Rhinolophus ferrumequinum: one gene and its partner. The protein of the gene in region 1 purifies or fractionates together with the protein of each later gene. This does not show direct contact. Links are inferred from orthologs where the notes say so. Each region holds a gene or a part of one and is shown on either strand. Other genes may lie near its edges.

The links.
Region 2: the proteins of NDUFAF4 (region 1) and NDUFS2 purify together in Homo sapiens (co-immunoprecipitation; 3 studies listed by BioGRID and IntAct, with this or other methods). This does not show direct contact. The link is inferred for Rhinolophus ferrumequinum from reciprocal best matches to the Homo sapiens genes NDUFAF4 and NDUFS2.

The regions. Positions count from the first base shown.
Region 1 is NC_046286.1:52,016,029-52,026,420, forward strand, and holds the start of NDUFAF4 (NADH dehydrogenase [ubiquinone] 1 alpha subcomplex assembly factor 4), read right to left. Parts: upstream 4,286-10,392; 5' UTR 3,973-4,285; coding exon 3,837-3,972; intron 3,313-3,836; coding exon 3,218-3,312; intron 1-3,217. UniProt on the Homo sapiens protein: Involved in the assembly of mitochondrial NADH:ubiquinone oxidoreductase complex (complex I). May be involved in cell proliferation and survival of hormone-dependent tumor cells. May be a regulator of breast tumor cell invasion.
Region 2 is NC_046305.1:2,348,987-2,358,679, forward strand, and holds the start of NDUFS2 (NADH dehydrogenase [ubiquinone] iron-sulfur protein 2, mitochondrial), read left to right. Parts: upstream 1-5,408; 5' UTR 5,409-5,423; coding exon 5,424-5,657; intron 5,658-6,367; coding exon 6,368-6,473; intron 6,474-8,482; coding exon 8,483-8,673; intron 8,674-9,693. UniProt on the Homo sapiens protein: Core subunit of the mitochondrial membrane respiratory chain NADH dehydrogenase (Complex I) which catalyzes electron transfer from NADH through the respiratory chain, using ubiquinone as an electron acceptor. Essential for the catalytic activity of complex I.

The DNA.
Region 1 (10,392 bases):
ACAAACAAAACGCCTTGTAAGATGAGAAGATCTGACATCTACATTCACACTTCTCAAATCTCCCCTATTCTTCTTCAAATACTATACGTGCTTCTTCAAACTACTTTCTCATTATAATGAACCATAGTTCCATGGCACTTTTGCCACATCACCGTTTCATAACTGTGGCTCAATCATCATGAAGAAATTCAGGTAGTTCTAGAAAATAACACTCGAATGTATACCATCCACTCGTCACATTATTTCACGTATATTAAAAGAACAATGAATTGATTAAAAACTGCTTTAGAAGGGCAGGACTCTAATGCTACCTTAACAGTTTACTTGGTAATCTCTATTGTTTCCTGGTTTTGTTTTCCAATGCCTCCAAACACTCTGAATGAATTTAAATATTGCTAGAGATCTTGCCTCTTCAGAGAACATAAACTAATATTTCTAATACTTCAACAAATACAAATAAAACAATCGATGCACATCCACCTGTCCCACCCAAGCTGAATCCTAGCATTTGTGCTCTGTATTTCATTCCTGTTACCTAGTTATGCCAATCATTCATTCCCTTTTCCTTTCAACTACACCCTGCCTACTGCTGCTATTTGGTCAAAATACAAAAACACTGTAGTCACCACCTTTAAAAAACACACACCATACCCAAAACCAACACTTCCGTTATGACTAGTTTCCTTCTTTTAAGTTAAGCTTTAAAAGAAAATGATCTTTTGATCTGGATGTGATATCTCATCCAGAGGATTATATCTCAACCCAGAGGACATTTTTCAGGCTTTATCTGAACTCACTACAGCATCTGATGCTGAGGACCACACTCCAACATACCTTTAATTATGTTTCCCTTTGGTTTCCATGCCATCCCTCTCCGAGTTTTCCCTGTCTCTCCAGTGATTTCTTCTTTGTTTTCTTTGTGGACTCTTTCCCTCAGTTGCCCCTTAAATACTAATGTGCCCCAAGTTCTGGCCCAGGCCCTCTTCTCACTCTATAAATTTCCTAAGTAATCCCACGTATTACCGAAACTTCCATTACTACCTATATCTTAATTACTTTCAAACCTCATTTCAAACCTAGAGACTTTCAGACCCCTTTCTCCTGACTTCCAGACCCCAATTCCCAAATGCCAAATAGGCATCTCTGCTTGGGTAATTTACAAGCACTTCAAAATCAACATGTCTAAAACTCAACTTATCCCTTTCCTCTGAAAACCCAATTCTATCCCCATATTCCCTATCTCAGTAACTAACACCACCCACTTCCCATACCCCATTGCAAAACTCAAAGCTTCTCTGATACCATGTTATACCTGACATCTCCCTCTCCCCCTCACTCATTACATCCAACCAATTACCAAATCCGATCAATACTGCCTCCAAAGTCCCTCTGAAAGCCATTTACTTCTCTCCCAGTCACTAAATCAATTCCCTATTATGAAACAAATCTAACATCACTTTCCCACATGAAACTCAATAACTTCCCATTATCATAAGGATAAAACCCAAATTCCTTAGCAAGACAAGTAAGGACCTTCAGATCACCCCCATCGGCCTCACTTCTCCCAAACTCATCCCTTACACTTTCCCCTAACTGTTGCTGAACGCTAACCATTCTCCAAAGGTGTCACATATTCTCCTACCTTTGCATTGTAACTTAGGCCTGAAACACTTTCCCAACTTCTTCACTTTCCAAAACACAAAGCTCCTCTTATCTTCCTATTCCCAGGAAGATCCTCCTTCCACTCCATAGACAGTTTTATTAAGATTTCCCTTCTGATTAATTCAACAATTCTCTCTTGATTAAAACAAACAAACAAACTCTTAGCAAATTGGAAATTGAAGAAAATGTCCCAAATGTGATAAAAGTATTTTTAATCAGCAACCATATCGTTTTATTATAATTAATGCTGAAACATCAGAAGCATCCTATGTAAGGAAATTACAGGATAGAATATCAACTTTCACTGTTATGCTAATACTATAGACAACACAGTAAAAATTAGGTATAAATATTAGAAAGTAAGAAAACAATGTAATTCTATGCCAATGATATGAGAATATCTTTAGAAAAATGAGAGAATGAACTGAAAAACTAATAAATAACCTAGCAATGTGAGTAGCTACAATACAAAAGTCACACACTTTCTGACATATTAGCAATAAATAGTTAAAAACTCAGGGTGAAAGAGATCCCATAGCAACAACCTTCCCTCTATCTCCCAAAAATTCAATAATACAAAGAAGTTAATTCTCCTCAAATTAATCTATAAATTCCAATTCAGCTACACTCAAAATCCAAACAGGACATTATTAAAGAACCTGACAATTTGCCTCAAGTTCATCTGGGGGAAAAAAAATGTGTCACAAGAGCCAAGAAACTTTTGAAAAGAAACAGAGGAGGCAGTAACAGATATCAACACACATTATAAAGTTCTATTAATTAACATAGTGTGATTCTAATGTAGAAATAGAAAGATAAATAAACAGAACCAATAAATCCATAATCAGAAACCATCCCTGATCCTCCAAATCTCAAACAGGGCCCCCAGATACACTCGCGTGCCTGTACTTCTCCTCCATAGACCTGTGAGTAATCGTGTACTTATGATTGCTCATCTGTTTAATGCCTGTCCCTCACAATACTATAAGCCGTGTGACAGCAAGGACTTAGGTCTGTTTTGATTATCACTACGTATAAAACACTTCTGCCAGGCATTTATAGATGGATTTAAATATAAGTTCCCATTCACAAAGTATTCTGTAATCTTGCTCCTTTTACATATCGTATCTGAACATATCCTTAAAAAACAAAAACGAAAAAACCCAAATACAACACTAAAGGAATCCCTGAGATTAGAACATACCTCAATTCAATGACGGGCGAGAAAATAGTATCAAAGCTCCCCTTCCGTAATTTAAATGGCAACCACTAGAAGTACCTTACCAAGTCCTACAAATTCTTAAATAACATCAAATACTTCACACAGTTGCATTCAATCAATACTTAAACGAGTCTGTTAGAATTTCAGTAAATAACCAATGAACCAAGGCATGTGTGTCTTGCTCACATCACTGTATTCTGGTTACAACTACACTGACGTTTTTACACTTGCAGGGCATCTCACTCTTTTACTATTTGCCACACTTTTCTTGACCATTTTCCTGGAGCCCCCAAAAGTTAAATTATTTATTTTCTTAATTAAAGTACACATTACCTGCACGGGATCTTTGGAATCAACATATACGTCTTTTAGTAATGACAGCAGTTTGTCATCTTTTCTAACAATGTCTCCCTTAATATCTGGATGAGCTAAGGAAAGAAAAAGAATGTCACAATATTAAAACCAACGAAAATTCTTCTACGATCCTAAACAATTAATACACGATACTTTTACGTTTTAAACAAACTATCGTTTGGGCAGTACGGAAAATATTTCACAGTAAATCAAAATACGGATTCAGGCTCGGCCTCCACCGTTCTGTGCAGACACCTAAAGAAACCTTCCGCTGCACACGATCCCTTCTCATTCTGATTCCCTCGATCAAGCAGCTAAGCGTTAAAGGCAAAAAGCCGGCTTGAACCGGACGGCAAGGGCACAGGTCTTCATCTCTGGGACTACCGAGAAAGCAGAGCCGCCGACTCCATGGCGAGCGCTAGGGGACGGGCTCAATGTCACCGGCCTGGTGGCTCCACCGTCCCGCGCTCGGCGGACCGAGCCCCTGCGGCCGACCCGCGTCACCCCGACCACGGCACCGACGTCCGCCGGCGGGGAACTGCCGAGCCGGCCCCGAGATCCCGCTCGCCCGGCCCCGACGCGCCCTCGCACCACTCACAGTTCATTTGCTCTCGCAGGAGGCTCTTGGTGGAGGGGTGCCTGGGAGCGGGGGAGGGCTTCATCTTGCTGATTTCCCGTTCCGCCCGGTTCTCTAGGTTGAAGTTCCTGATTGCGCGAGCCACCGAGGCCCCCATCTCCTCACAACATGATGCCCTCAGTTAACAACGCACGTGGGAAAATAGCCGTGTGGGCCACCTCCGTAACGAACCGAGCATGCGCACGCCTGGGGTCGAGCGGGTCGCGCGCCGGAAAGCAGGCGCTAAATGCGCGCCGTTTGCCCCCTACCGGTCGGGAGGGCACACGCCGCATCTCCGCCCAGACTGTATCCGAGGGCGTCCTGCCTCCGGGTCCAGCGACGAGTTCTTGCCTGCGGTTACTGCCGGGGGAGGTAGGGTGGCTCAGGGCTCAAATCCAAGGATGGTGTCACCTCTGGAGACTCATTGAGTCAGCAGGGGAGCTTTAAAAGAGTTACCTGCCATGCAGACTTTCTGATTTAATTCCTCTGGAGTGAGGCCCTGCATTGGTTCAGGCTTCCCACGTGATTCCAAAGTTGCAGGCTGAGTAGGGAAAAGTCGTAAAGGAAACTGACCTTGAAGTCCTTTCACGGGTCCATGCAGCGAAAGAGGAAGCCAATAAAAATGGAATTGCATCAGGATAAATGAAGGTCCGAAAATTGCTCTTTCCTGCTCTTGTGAAAGGAACGCAACGAAATGTATTCATTCTCGATGAATATTTGTTCTCTGTCACTCTGTTATTTAAATGCCCCTTATTTTCTTGTCCCCTCTCCTGCTTCATTTCTGAGCCACGGTGTTCCCTTTTTCCTAGATCTTTTACATCCCGCTGTCATAACTCATTTGACCTAATTTTATCGATTTTAGTTATGCTGCCCTTTCCTTTCTCTTTGTTTTTGGTACTAATTTGTGTTATTTCTTCACACTATTAAGTACTAAATCACCGCGTCATTCCCGTTTTTCCTGCCTTCCTCATTCCTTTTAAGCGAGGGAGCGGAGCCCTCCATATAACTTAATGAAAGGAATAGCCAATATGACATTAAAAAAACAAACCAAAAATACCGAGTTGTTCTCTCTTTTTTTCTCTTATTGTTCTCCACCCCTCTCCCCCAATTCTGAATGGATTACTGTGTTTCTGATTTTATTTAAGATTCTTTAGAAATATTGTCATTAATCCATGATACCAGGAAGTAGCAGGGTTTCCAAAGTTACAATATTTTTCACAGACTGGCTGCAAATCGGTTTTTAGTGTTCCCAGATCTGCTTAGCAAAATGAAGTTGGTTGTTTGTTTTTAATTAATTAAAAGCAAGTACAGAGTCCATGTAAAGATAATCAAAGTAACACATTTTTTAAAAGAATCAAAGTAAAGAAAGGGCAGTTTTATTTAAAGAAAACTAATATAATTAGTAAATATATTTAATCACAGCAAAAGTATTACAAGGAGAGTTGCTTCCACCGTTGATTATCTGAAACGTTTTTACTGGGCTAGTTATTTGGATTTTACAGAGGCTAAAACCAGTGTTCTCTGGTAGAGTTAGTTGGGAAGTTATCCTGAAGGTGGCAGGCTACTCCAAGATTTCCATCTGAGACAGACATGCTCCTAACTTGGTGCTTTTTCAGCTAAGTATTCATGTTTCCACAGGTGCCAAGAAATTTTCATCTGCCTCATTATGTCTGTGAGCTTCAAAAATTGTGGTAATAATTCCACTCACTGCCTATTAAAATACTTTGAAAGTGAAAAATTCATTCTCATAGATATTCCACCACACTTCTGGCAGCATGAAAAAGTAATGTTAGATAGAAGTTACAGGAAATGTAGGTTGCTGTGGGGATTACTGCATGAAAGAATTCCTTGGATTCCCACATTTAGGTAGAGTTTGGATTCCATATTTATGGAACATCCAACCGGTGCCAGCTGCTTTGCCTGGTCCTGCCTGGTGCTGCGCAAGCCTGCAAAGAACAGAACAGAAGGCAACATACTCCACCAGAAATACACAATTGGCCATCACCCCTTGGGAATCATCATGGAACTAAACCCTGAACCACAAATGCATAATTCTAGCTCCTCTTGTCAAAGCATGTGAATTAACAGGAAGTCTGAACTCAGAACTCCTGCGCTTATGTTAAGGGTTGAAGTCAGGTCCCCAAGGAAAGTATAACTGGAATGCTGCTCAAAATCAAGCGTCTCTCTGAGCAGAGTGTTTTGGTGGGTACAGATTGCTGAATATCTTACGGTACAAATAAAATAAACCCAGGGTCTTGTCAACACACTAGAATGTAAGTTCTATGAGAAAAGGAAAATTTGCTTTGTTCACGGCTGTCTCCATCCCATTGAACAGTGGTTGATACCCAATAGGAACTAAACAAATGTCAAGTAAGTCAGATAAACCCAAAGACCAGCCCGGCCCCTGAGCTGGAGTCCAGACGCTGAATACCAGCCCCTCCACCAGAAGTGAATCCTTATGACTGTCACTGTTGAACATACTTTCCTCATCTTAAAATTGGGATGATAGTTTTAATTATGTAATGGGTTTCACACCATTTAAAAGATAAAGTGTCTACTACAGTGCCTACCTCAATATGATATTCAGTATTTGTATTGCTTTCTATTTTCCAGAGGAGCAGAGAGAAGTTTGAAAAAGAACCAAAGATATTGTGACACCCTGGTCTATAGCTGAATGAAAAGGATAAAATACTTAAATATCTGAAAGTAAAGTAAGACCCATGTTCTTTAAGAATTTAATTTAAAAATAAGTATTCCAAATTTGATTTTTATATACTAATTTGTGTGCTCTGCACATGGTGGCATTGCTGGACTCATGAAGGTCAGAATTTGGGTGGGAATTATTAGCTCAGGGGCACAAAATGCCACCTGCTCTTACCTGGCATTGGCAGCAGAAATAGTCCCTAGCCGGTCGCCTCCGTGCTTCCCTCCCTCCTCCATCTTTCTCTCTGTGCCTACACTGTGACCTTTGCACACTCCTTCCCCTGAACATAATTCAACAGCATTCTGTATTCTCCAAAGAATTGCAATCGCTAAACCTAGGTGACTGGTGACTCAAGGAGCCCAGGACAGCCCCTAGAGATTTCACTGACCAAACCCCAGCTACTAGTGGGCAGAGGAGCAGACCGGGGAGGAATGACTCATCCTGGCAGAGAGCGCGAGGGCCTGGACTCCAGCTCAGGAACCAGGAATGAGTGAGAGTTCAAGTGAGGTCATTTACAACGTTCCCAGGCTTGACCAGTTAGTTACACAGTGGTCAGTGTTGTAGGTTTGTGGAATATTTGGGGAACAAAAACCCAAAGTCCCAAACCAAAACAAACTAGGCTTTGGGCAGATCCCGTATTCATATTGAAAGACACCAGGTCTCATAGGTAAGAATTATCAGTCAGCAATTTATACCCAGATGCCTGCTTTGTGGCTACTGCACTCATGACTTTTGTCATTGTATGAGTTTCCTATTAGTGCTAACAAATTACTGCAAAACAGTGCCTCAAAACAGAACAAAATTATTACCTTATATTTCTGGAGGTCAAAAGTCCAAAACAGGTCTTAGGAGGCTAAAATCAAAATGGCTGCAGAATTGTCTTCCTCCTGGAATCTCTAGGAAAAAATTCCTTGGGTTTTGCTTTGTTTTTTTCTGTTAGTTTTGTTTTGTTTTTTGGCTTCTGGAGGTCTGCAACACTTCTTGGCAGCCAGTAATTGTATAGCTTCACTGTCATATCTTCTTTTCTGACTGTGACTCTTCTGTCTCCCTCTTTCCCTTATAATACTCTTGTGATTACATTGGACCTAACATAAATCCAGGATAATCTCCCCATCTCAAGATCCTTAACTTAATCACATCTACAAAATACTTTTTGCAGGTTTTGGGGATAAAGAGGGAAATGTTTTTAGAGGAGCATTATTCTGCCCACCACAGTCATCATCTTGAGAAATTCGTATCTATCAGTGTAGCGATGATATGTAGTAAAATTCAAAGAAAGAACGATGGAGAGAATGCCTACTATTCTTCATTCAGCCCCATGGAGCTTATCTTCCAATGAAACTACCTAATTGTTCAAAGAATAAAACCGTCTTGCTTGGGCAATAGTATTTCAGGCTTTGCCTAGGAGCCATAGTAGCTCACAAGTAAACTGCTGCTACTTCACCAGATCTATGCACTGCACAGGGAGGCAATTCTTCCTATATCCCCAACCTCTCGTCCTCCTGGAGCACCTGTGTCTGAGAAGCCTCAGTGAGCAAGAGTGTGAATGTCCCTTGTATATAAAGCAGCATGACTAGTTTCCCTAATTACGGCATCTTAGACGTCTTAGACCAGAAGCCTACCATTTTTCTTACTCTTCTTCCCTCTCCATCATTTTCCTCTTGGCTTAGAATTTTACAATCACCCACCCATTCCTGTCTTTGTGTTAAGATTGTTTTCCTCTTCTCTGCCTGTATCCACCTTTAAAAGGGAAATACTCCTGGGGAAAGCAAGCCATTTGTGGAAGAGTTTATCAGTTTTCTGAACTCATGGACTGGAAGAAGATAGCTGTCTGAAAACAGGAAGAGAGAGGGGGAAAGTAGAAGCTATTGGGGAAAAATGGGAGATGAGAGAGAGAGGAAAAAAGGAACGAGAGACTAGAGTCAGAGGCAGAAAAGGGCATCTACAGCCCTTTCACGTCTGAGGAGGCTCCTTACCCAGCTCGTCTCCCTACAGCTTCTTCTGTTGACATTCTCCTTGTACAAACTATTTAAAAATAAACATCATTGAAAGAAATAATTATCAAAACCTGTGGAATACAGTCAAAGCAGTATTGGAAGAAAATGTATGTGTGTTTCTGTTAAATACATTTGTTAGAATACTGGAACAATTAAAGGTAAATGAATTTGAATTAGGCATTCATGTCAAAACACGAGAAAAAGTGTATCAAAAGAAATCCGAAAAAAAATGTTTAAAGGATTGAAGATAAATCAGAAATTAATTACATAGAAAAAAACCCCACTTACCGTAGTTCTTTGGAAATATAAAATCTGACAGATCCAAGTAAAAAACAAGGCACAAGTAAAGCCCCTTCGAATATTTTTGGAAAGACATGATCACAAATTTAGAGAGTCTTTTTTTAATTGAAAGAAAATGATATAGACAAGTTTATATACAACTTTAATATATAAACTTGAGTGACTCCTTGAGTGACTTGCTTCTAACCAATAGAATATAGCAAGTGTGAATAGAATAGAATAGAATAGAATAGAATAGAATAGAGCATAGATATAGGACAGAAGACAACATAGAATAGAATGTGGTCACCCTCATGATTATCTTATGTCAGATAAGACTCCGTCTTAGGAGACACGACAGAGTCTCCTACTGGTCTTGATGAAGCAAGCTACCATATTGTTACTGGGTCTTTCAGAGGCCTCTGCAAAGAGGCCACATGGCAAGGAACTTCAGGGCCATTTAGGACATGAGAGCAGCCCCCAGGTGACAGCTACAAGGAAATGGGTATCTGAATCCCACAACCACAAGGAACTGGATTTTGCCAACAGCCACATGAGCCCGCAAAAGGACTTCGCACTCTAGAAATTAATACAGCCCCATCAATACTGTATAATCATTTCAATTGATTCACAAAATATAGTTGCTTAAATTCAACACCCATTACTAATAATAGACTTAACCCGCTAAGAATAGAAGGAAAAGGTCTTCACTTGATAAAGAGTACATATCAACAAATCATAGCAAATACCATATTAAATGGTGAAATGTTAGAATCAGGCCTAGGAAAGCCAGTGCTGTCCACTATTGGCCTTATTCAACCTTTTGCTGAAGGTCCTAGCTAAAAGAACAAGAAGAGGAAGTAAGAATGATTCATTCTTTTGCAAAATCAGTAACTCTGTCTTCCTAGAAAATTTGAGAAAATCATTCAAAGAACTATTAATATTAGAACTTATAAAAGAATTCAATGAACCAGCTGTCCTACATATCAGTTAGAAAGCATAATGGCCCCAAAAAACTTCCATTGATGATGGCCACAAAAACTATTATGCACCTAGAAATAAACTTGAAAAAATTTGCAAAACCCAAATGAAATAAACCACAAAATCTAGGAAAATAGAAAAAGAAACACATGGCTAGATCTACCAGGTTCCTTCATGCAGAGTCAAGAATGTAAAAATGTCAATTCTTTCACAAATTAATCCATAAATTTGATATGCTTTCAATTGAAATTGTAAAGTGAAAAATGACAACAGATACTAAAGTTCATCTGGACGAGAAAATGAAAAAGTAGGCAACTAATTTTTGAAACAACCATGAGGAAGTACTTGCCCTGTAAGATATTAGAATGCAGTTTAAAACTTTACAGTGTAATCTTGATTCAGTAATTGGTAAATATATCAGTAAATATGATAGTGCCAAGATAGATCTAATTATGTATAGAGTGACATTTAAAATCACCCTATGATGATATAAGAATCTAACTCCTCCCAATCTCGAACAGATAGCCAAATTTTCAACCACATTTATTTACCCATCTGCCATTTACCCTTGCTCTCC
Region 2 (9,693 bases), on another chromosome or scaffold:
GGGGGATCATCGAAGATAAATGAGGGAGCAAGACACGAGAGTCCATTGGGCTGAGACCAGATCAGTGGGGACTTGGGCACTGTCGGGGCCCAGACAGAGTCAGTGGTGTGGGCAGGCCAGGCGCCACCCTGCACGGCTCCAGGGGCACTGTTTAAATCCTTCCACAGGGTGCTTCTGGGAGTCGTGCGGTGTGTGGCCTGTGGTGCTGGCAGGGCCTCACCTGGCGGGTAAATAGAACGGCTGTGTCAAAGTGGTCAGGGTCAGAGTCCTCCGGGCTGTTGAGTCCTTGTTGCCAGGCACAGAAGCTGCGCAGGGTCTGGGCAGCACTCGGCACCACTTGGGGTCCTTCCTCGCCGGGCGCCAGAATGACCAGCCGAGTCACCACCAAGTTGACAGGGTTGTGGATGCTTGGGTGCTTGAAGGCCTTGGCGGCAGCTGCCATAACTGTCAGCACGTAGCGCTTTAGCCCTGCACCGTGAAATGCAGCCATCTTGTCATCGGCCACCACCAGGGTCTCCACGAATCTACTCAGGGAAGCAAAGCGCTAGGAGAGAGAGGACAGAGGGTCGTGAGACTGCCTGCCACACCAGGGGTCACACCCCCCCTTCTTTCTGGGTCTGGAGCTCAGCAGAGCCAGCTGGCCCTGAGCACACCCTGTTGATTCCCCCACCCCAAAATGTGGTAACTGAGAAAACAGCTGTTGGTTCAGAGAGGGGAGGAGAAGGGGGTGCCACGTCCCAGAGAGGGCCGCCTGGGCCCCAGAGGTGAAAAGCTGCTGGGAGGGGCCTTGGGGCCCCCAGGCCTGAGTGTGACTGGGGCTTGAGGGCTGGGCCGCAACGTGTCTGCCCTGTGTGGTGGTGGAGGAACAATTCAGTCAGCAGCCAGGCGCGGGCCAGATCTCAGCGTGGCGGGTGTGGGGAGCGTCTGGTCTGGATTAAAGCTGGGGGTGGGGGGAGTAAAGGATGGAGCCTCAGGCAGCCTCGTAATCAGTGCCTGTGGGAGCGGACGGACCACGGCGTGTGGGACGCCTTTCCTCCCTGGGCACTCCTGCCCTGGTGTGCAGGTGGCCAGGACAGTTTAGAAGGCAGCACCACAAGCCAACCCTTTGGGCCTAAACGCTCATTTCTTTAGCTGGGTGTGTGTGTCGGGGGGCAGGGTGAAAATCAAATGTGGACACAGGAAAGAGTCAAGGCCAAGGGGCTGTTAGGACAGCCTGTAGCTAGGGGCCATGGCAGCAGGATGCCATGGTCAGGCAGGGGCTGGGGGGGCGGCGGGGGGGCGGGACGGCTCATTCCCAGCAGAGCCTCTGACCCACCTCAGGGAACCCTCCTTGGGGTCAGCGGACTGGCCAGGAGCAGGGGCAGGCAGGGAGAAGCCAGAGCTGTCCCAAGACAGGCTTGTCAAGGAGGAAGAGTGGTGCCCAGCGGACCCGGGGCTCAGCCGGACGGACCCCAGGGTGACCTACCTTGGCTCTGCGGGGGCGGGGGCTGGGGTCCCCAGGAGGAGCCTTGACGTTGCACATGGGGCCCTGGCCGCTGACAGGATGCTTCCGGCGTAGGATGTGAGCCCCAGGGCCCTCGGCAGAGTTCAGGGTGCCCGCCTCCAGGGGCTGGATGTGGAGTTCGGTCCCCCGATACTGCAGCACCCCTAACAGGGCCCCTCCGTCCCAGTGTAGAGATGCCACCGACTCCGGGTCTGCGTTGACGGTGCCGGTGAGGTAGGTGCCGGCCTCGGCCCCGCCCAGCCCCTCGGGTGCCCGGCCCAGGTACTGCACCGTCAGCCCATCGACCCGCACACCCGGGTCTTGCTCCAGCTCTAGCAGCAGCGTGTCCCCAAAGGCAGACAAGCGGCACAACAGCCTGGCAGGGATGCCCAAGCCAGGCGGGACGCTGCCGTTGAGCTTCTCTGGAAACACGATCTCTTCCTCTTCCCGGGGGAGGGGGCCGGCTGGGCTGAGGGCAGGAGGGAGACCAGCAGAAGCAGCAGCACCAGCCCGAGACGGCGGGCAGTGTGGGGAGCTGTGGACGGGAGCGGCTTCCCCACAGCCAGCAGTCGGCCAAGCGCCTCCCGGGGCGCACGTCTGTCAGGGACATGGCACAGCTGGCTGTGCTGGGAGGGCCTGAGGCTGTCCGGCCACCCAGTCTTCACGCTCTGGCTTTGCAAAGCTCCTCTGCAGCCTGGGGCTGGGCCTAGTGCCGGGGTCAGGGGCAGGGTTTGGTAGAGGGCCCCTGGGGACCTTCAGAGAAGGCAGGGAAGACTTAGCCCTTGGCTTGGGAGAGGTGCCTAGTGGCCTGGCTCCTCCTTAACCCTCGTCCTCTGCAGCTTCTCTGGCCTCCCCTTCTGTACGCCCTCAGACCCTGGCTTCGCCTCTGTGCCTTTGTCTCTGTCTCTTTCCTGTTCTCTCTCCCCGTCCATGTGTCTGCGGGTCTCCCTGTGGGTTCTTCCCACACTCCCCGCCCAGCTCTTTAAGCATCCTGAGGGCGCTGTGATTGGCTGAGCTGGAAGCCATTCAGCCAGCAGCTCTGTTGGTAGGACTCAGATGGGTGTCTCATTCCTTCCCAAAAACCTCGCTTTTGTCTTCCGTTGAGAAAAATGGGACTTGCCCCAGGGAGGGGGGCCTGTAGCAGCCGAATGGAGGGTCATAGGCGCTGGGCCAGCTGATGACAGGGCATTTGCCCAAACCCCACAGCCAGCTCTCAGCTGTCTCCCTATTTGGTAGACAGAGCCCCAGGAGGGTAGGAAGTCCGGGAAAGGGCCTGGCCTACATGCACAGAAAGGACCAAGGTCCCAGGAGAATTCTGGTATGGCCTCCCTTTTCTTGGGGCTCCCTCAGGCTGCCCTCTGCCCCTAGGGGCTGATTTCCAGAGCTGAGGAGAGAGGGTAGAAGCCTCAAGAGGGTGAACAAAGAAAGGAGCTAGCTCAGCATTGTCAGGACCAGAGACCCAGCAGCAGGAAAGAGTGCAGGAGGGTGTGAGACAGGCCAGCAGGAGGCAGAGATCAGGGAGTAAACTGCCCAAAGGTAGGGCATGTCAGCTTCAAACGGGCACACCTGGGAACGGGCAGAGGCCATGCCAGGCAGGAGGGGTAACGACTTCCCTTCCCAGGAGGAGGGTCCAGGGTGGTACCACTTCTAACTTCTCTCACTCAGGCTCTCCCTTACTGAGTAACCACTATCTGCCCCTCCAAAGCCTGGGACAGCCATTCCGCCTCCATTCCCCTCAGGGCTCCCCCTCCCCACTTCCTGACTCCCCATTTTCCTTGGCCCAGCGCCCAGTAGCTTCCCCCCAGGGCTCTTGGCCCTTCTCCTACCCGGCTCCTAACCAGAGCCCTCCTCCAGCCTCCCACCAGCCCACCCAGCACAGGAACCCAGACACAACCCAGTGCCGGGCCTCTGAGGAATCCCCACTTAGCTCCCAAGTCTGGCTCCACCTTGCCCTGAGAACCCATCGTTCTGGGAATATCTAGTCATCCTCTAGTTCTCATTTCCCTTAGACAGGGAGAGGATGGAGGCAGCATTGTGAATACAGGGAAATTAGGCAGCAACAGAAACAGGAACCGGTGCCTGAGATGGGAGAGAGCCCCAGGGAGGAAGAGGTGGTGTTGGGAAAAGGAAGCAAAATGACTCCGTCAGTTCTGGACTGGAGGAGGACTCAGCAAAGAGGTCTTGGGGATAGTCTCGCAAGCAAGGAAGTAAAGGGTTCAGAAGTAGGGGCAATGTCTGTTCCCCCCAGGCTACAGGCCACTCCCTCAGGATATCCCCAGGAAGGGGAGTGCTGGTCAGCAGTCCCCTTCCTTTCCCGGAGACCGACCACCTGCCCCTGCCCCATTTGTCTATTCGCTTTCTGCCTTGTCACCTCCTGCACCCCACATCATATCCACCAGGACACTTCCTTTCCCCCCGCCCTTCCTGCTCAGGTCCACTAGTACCTGCTCCAGTGCCCACTGCTTCCTGTGTCCAGCACCCCCTGTGACTGCCTGGTGCCCTGACCCTGGTCCTAAGTGGAGGGTTAGACAAAGGATGGGAGACCAGAAGGGGCAAGGGGCAAGAGGCGCTGTCACGAGGACTCTTACTGCCCCTTTCCACCCCCATCTGAGAAGAGGACAAAGGGGGGTGACTAAGCAGTGAGAGACAAAGGGCCTTGGAGTTGCCAGTAGCAGTGTGTGTGGGGGGGGTGCTGGCATCAGGGAGAAGGCACAAAAGATGCCCTGTCCTCGGCAGCCCCCCCAGGAGGCCCTCACCCTCGTTCCAGCTCAAGTCGCCCTCAGGGCCAAGCAGGCCCGAGTCTAGACGGACTTCTCTCAGGCAGGATTAGGGCAAATAAATGCAGCCCCCCCCCCAGTCACCATCACCCACACTTACTGAGCTCCAATGCAGAGGGGGACAAGGCCCAGGGGAGGGTGGGGAGTCGGGGCAGGAAGGCAAGGGGGCTGCCCAGTCCACCCTGGTCCCCTCGGTTCCCAGAGCCAGGTATGACCCCCGCGCTTTGGCACTGTTCCCATTAGGTCAACTCCCGCTAAAAGTCTGGCTTTCTCCTCTTTCTCCACAGCTGAGAATTCCCAGGGTGCCACTCTCCTGGGTCTGTCTGCCCCACCCTGCTGCACCGCCGGTGGGCTGGGTCCGGGGACCCTGTGCGGGGGAGATCTGGGGAAGGCTTCTGGCAGGCGGAGTGCGAGTGGGAGGGACCGCAAACTCAACGGGTGGCCCAGCTGGAGCTGGGCTTGGAGGCAGAGGCAGAGAACCGGAACTGGCCTCCAAGGCTGGAAAAGTCTGCCTCGTCCGCACAGAACTGGGCTCCGACTCCTGGTGGTGACTACATTTCTGTGGCACTGGCCAGGACTGAGGCAGGCTCAGGGTCAGGGTCAGGGTCAGAAAGTGGAGGGGAGGGCCTGACCCAGGATGAAGTGGGGTGTGAGGCATGTCTAGGGCGCTTCCTGAGGCTGCAATTCTGCAGGTTCTGGGAGCCTGGCGGACATCAGGGTCACCCATGAAGGCCCGCGGCCTCTCGGGGGTGAGGTGGCCCCCCCCCCGCACGCCCCGCGGCCGCTCCCATGCGGGGGGCCTAGGCCTCCTCCTCTTTCCTTTTATTTGGCGGAGCTAAGACCCCGCCGGCCCCACTTGGGTCCCCTTGCCTGACCCGTTTAGGACATCTGGAAATTAGCTGGCTTTCCCTGCTCCGAAACTTTTGGCTTCGGGAACGGGAGGTAATTGGCACAGCCTGGGGCCACCCAGGAGGGCCGGGGCGGCCAAGCGGGGGGGAGCGGGCACAGTCCAAGGGTGAGGGGCGCGCGAGGGGCCTGGCTGCCCCGGCACGAGTAGCAAGTTCCCGCCGGCTAACGCCTAGAAAGACGGTCAGGAGCGGTGGGAACAGCTTCCCTAGGTCCCGGGTATTTGAGCCACAGTGAAGCCGAGGCGCAGAACCCGGATGTTGTCAGGCTCAGGTCGGCGACCCTGCCAGCTTTCAAGATGGCGGGCCGCATTTGTGCCGACGGGCCAGAAGCCCACAAGGAAGTGCGCGGCGGAACTCCTCCGCCCGGCCCTCCTCCCACCGTCCGCCGCGGGCAAGATGGCGGCGCTGAGGGCTTGTGCGGCCTGCGGGGCGTCACGGCCCAGGTGCTGCGGCCAGGGGCTGGGCCGGCTACCTATTCGAGCCCAGCAGGTGAGGCCCGGGGCAGCCGTCGACGCGCTGTCCCCAAGGCTGTGGACTCCACGGCCCTGTGCCCCCTAGGAAAGAATGACCCGGGCCCGTGAAACCCTCGCCCAGGCCTGCCGTCTCGGGCTCCATCCAGGTGCTTGGCGCCCCGCTGTGGCGGAGGGGAGAGGGTCTTGAGCTGGTTTCGGCCCGGGTGAAATCAGGTGTCACCTTGCCTTATGCTCTTCTTGCTTCTGAACCCCGTCACGGGTGGGGTGCGACTGGTGAAGCTCTCCTTAGACGCTGTGGGCCAAGAGGAAAGCCCGCTGATGGGGTTCGATGAGGAGCGCAAACTGAGACCCTGAGACTCCCAGTGCGGCACTCGGGCCGTCTTTGAGCTGAGCCAAGGACCCCGTCTGTTCTCTCTCTCTCTCACATCAGTTGACCTTGAATCAACACCTGTCTTGCATTCATGTTGTCCAGGGCGGGGATTTGAAGGAGCCAGCATCCCAGCCTGCGTGCACAGGGGGTGATAGGTGAAGTGATTCTGGGACTAAGTTGTTAGGAGTGGAACCTGTGGAGTTCCAGCTTGTGCCGAAGCAACACTAACTGTGTGTCGGTTCGCGGCATTGAGGAATCCCAGGCAGCCTCACCTGGTGTCTGCCTGTCTCTAAGGGGATGCGAACGGAACAGGCACTGTTTCAGGCCGGTGTTTGGTGTCTTCTTTAACTCCCTAGAGGTGCTCGGCAGTGGCAGCCCGATGTGGAGTGGGCAGAGCAGTTCGGGGAGCCGTCATGTACCCCACCAAGGAAACAGCCCACTGGAAGCCTCCACCTTGGAATGGTGAGTGCCCAGAGCCCCTGTCCCAACCTGATTTTTGTGTTCTTGAGTGCTCTATCTTAGGCAAGTTTTAGTTCCCACCCTTTCTGTTTTCATCATGCAAGTCAACAAACATGATAGTGGTAATAGTATTTGGTCAAGTAGAGAAGGAAAGGAAGAACATTCCAGGAGAAAGAAAGCGTAGGTCACAGCCAACCCTCGGAGGTCCCTACCAAATTCCTATGTTTAGCTTCAGCTTTTCCCATAGGTTCAGTATATTTCCATCTCCCTTGCTAGACAGGGTGGTTTTCCCACTGGCAACCCAAATGACTTCCTGAATACAAACATTTCTTACTCCATCAAAACCCAGCTTTCCTTTTGACTTTCTGGTTATGATCAGTGGCTCTGCCATTCTCTCAGAGTTGAGACTTTTAGTCACCCTTCGGCTCTGTTCTCTCTCCTGCCCTCCATGTCTGTGTGCAGGCAAATCACCAAACCACGCGGCTCTTTCCTAATGTCTCACATCTAGTCACCTCTCTCTTTCTTATTCAGACTTACTGTGTGTTAGACCTTGATTATTTCCAGGAGTCTCTTCCCTGGCTTCCTGCCACTGATCTGCTCTCCCTGCAGCTGTCCTATACAGTGTCACCCGCCTTCAGCGTCCCCAACAAATCATTTTACCGTGTCATTCATTCTCATGCTCAAAAACCTTCAAAGGTACTTCAGTTACTTTTCAAAAACTTAATAGTAAAAGCAGCAGAGTGCTTACCATGCACCAAGTGGTCTGTATGCATTGTTTTACTTGTCCTTACTGCAGGCCTTGGGGAAGTGACACCAGTATTATTTCAATTTTGAGGAAATTCTGGTGCAGGGAGAGTACAGCTTGATCAAGGATGCACAGGTGGATTTGTTCTTGAGTCCGTCTGACTCCAGAGTCCATGGTGAAGAATTTGCGTTGAAACGCTCGCCTCTGGTCTCAGATCTTGGTTCTTCATTTAGCAGTGAATGAAGTGCCCACTTAATTGCGTTACTGTGAGGGTCAAATGAGATAGTGACATAAGCCACTTCCTGTAGCGATTGGCACATTGTGTGTCTCCCTTAGTGTTGTTATTAGTGATGCTACTGTCCCCACCGCCTGCCGTCACTAATCTTCTGCCTCTTGACAGGGAAGATACTTCCTCGTTTCTAAGATTGACCCGTGTGGATCCCATAGCCTGGGTGTCTCTTCTTCTCACTGTCTCTCAGAATCATTCCTGTATTTAAGAGCCAGCTCAGATCCTGCCTCCATGGAGTCTTCACACTGTTCTTTCTTTCTTTTCTTTTTTTTTTTTTAACATTTTTTGTTGTTCTTTCCTTCCTTTAAACATTGATGGCTAAGCCACTTCATTGGTACCTTGTAAATTTGACCTGTGTTACTAGTTTTCACATGTACTTATTTCCCAAATGAAATTGGAAGCTTCTTCAGGGTAAGAACTGTCATTAGTAGTGGTAAGAATTACAATACATGTCCTGATTGGTTGGCCGTCCATCAGATACCTTTGGAGGATAGTGTATCCTAGTGGTCAAGAGTGTGGGCCCTGGAGCTGAAAGGCCGACTTCTGTGCTGGGTCTGCCGTGTACCAGCCCTGTGAGAAAGCGTTTATCTTCTCCAGCCTCAGTTTCACCAATAAAATGGGCTTACTAATAGTACCTAGTACTTGTGGTTGTTGTGAGAATTAATGAAAGTAAGCAGAGTTCTTAGAGTAGTCCCTGGTAGACGATAAGGGCTATATAAATGTTATCTGTTATTACTGTTCCTTTCCAAAAGGTATTCTGGGCGACATGGAGAAAGGGGGTTCATGGTCCCTCCCATCACTTTAGATCTCCCTTCCCCCTTTTCCCATCCATGGTCTTCCTGGTCACCGTGGAGATTAGGGTACTTACGGTACAGCACGGTGAGATGGAAGACCTGTAGGGACGGGAAACTCCTTGCTGTCTCGTGGGGGTTCTCAAGGGAATTACCCCTTGACTCTCAACTGTTTCCCACTTCTCAGATGTGGACCCTCCAAAGGACACACTGGTGTCGAACTTGACCCTGAACTTTGGGCCCCAGCACCCAGCAGCCCATGGTGTCCTGCGCCTGGTGATGGAGCTGAGTGGGGAGATGGTGCGCAAGTGTGACCCTCACATCGGGCTGCTGCACCGCGGCACCGAGAAGCTCATCGAGTACAAGACCTACCTACAGGTGTGGGCGAGCACGGCCTGTGGCAGGACCTGGGGTGCTTTAGCCTGGGACTTGGCCTCTTTACAGTCCCCAAAACCCCAGGGGAGGAGGGTTTTGAGGAGCGGCCCTTTGAGGTTATCAAGATGGTCTTGGCTGGGAGGATGGACGGATGTGGCAGGGGACACGTGACTTAAACCATCTGGATTTGCTTTGTCCAGCAGCGATGTCCTGCAGCCTGAGTAACTCCCGCTTGTGCTGGCTGACTCCCAGCTTACACTCCCTTCACCCTTACTCCAGTGCCTCAGTCTCCCTGCTCACACCAGTACGTCACAGCCACAGTCCCTGGGCTCAGGGCAGGAGGACAGAGACGTCAGCTTCCTAGGATTAGCAGCTGATTCTTGTATCTTCCAGCTCTCTACGTTTGTTTTTGAAACACTCAGTGAGTCAGAGTGACTGGGAGGGAGTTTGAGACACAGTTTGCCGTTTTTAGAACTGTGACCCTAGTGGTGAGGGTTAGATTCGCAGGCATGGATCTGAGATAGGAATCTGCGCTTTTTTCCTTACTGTCACGAAGAAAGGTCTTGATAGCAGGATGACGGGGTGAGGATTTAGAACCACTGACCAGAAACGGAGTCCCCTGGAGAGTCCAGGCAGTGGTGTCTTCTGGTCGCAGAGTCCATGGAGTTAACATTGTAGCATGGTCCCACGTCACAAGGACGTCAGGACAAGAACGAACTGTCTTAGGGAGGGGCCCCTCCACTCCCTCTCCTTCCTGGAAGCCAAGGCTGGCCGACAGCCGGGACTTGGCTTCTTGGTTCCAGGGGAGGAGCGCCGAACCGTTCCCACTAGAAACAGACCGCACCCTTCCTGGCACTCCGTCCCCCATCTTCAGGCCGGTGCTCCCGGCACCGATGACCTTTCCCCTCAGTGTCTCAGAGGGGCAGTCGTCTTTGGTGTCTGGGGCCAGGGGGCTCTTGGCAGTGGTGTCACAGGACAGATTGTTACATTTTCAGGAATTTTGTGAGCCACTTTTTATTAGTG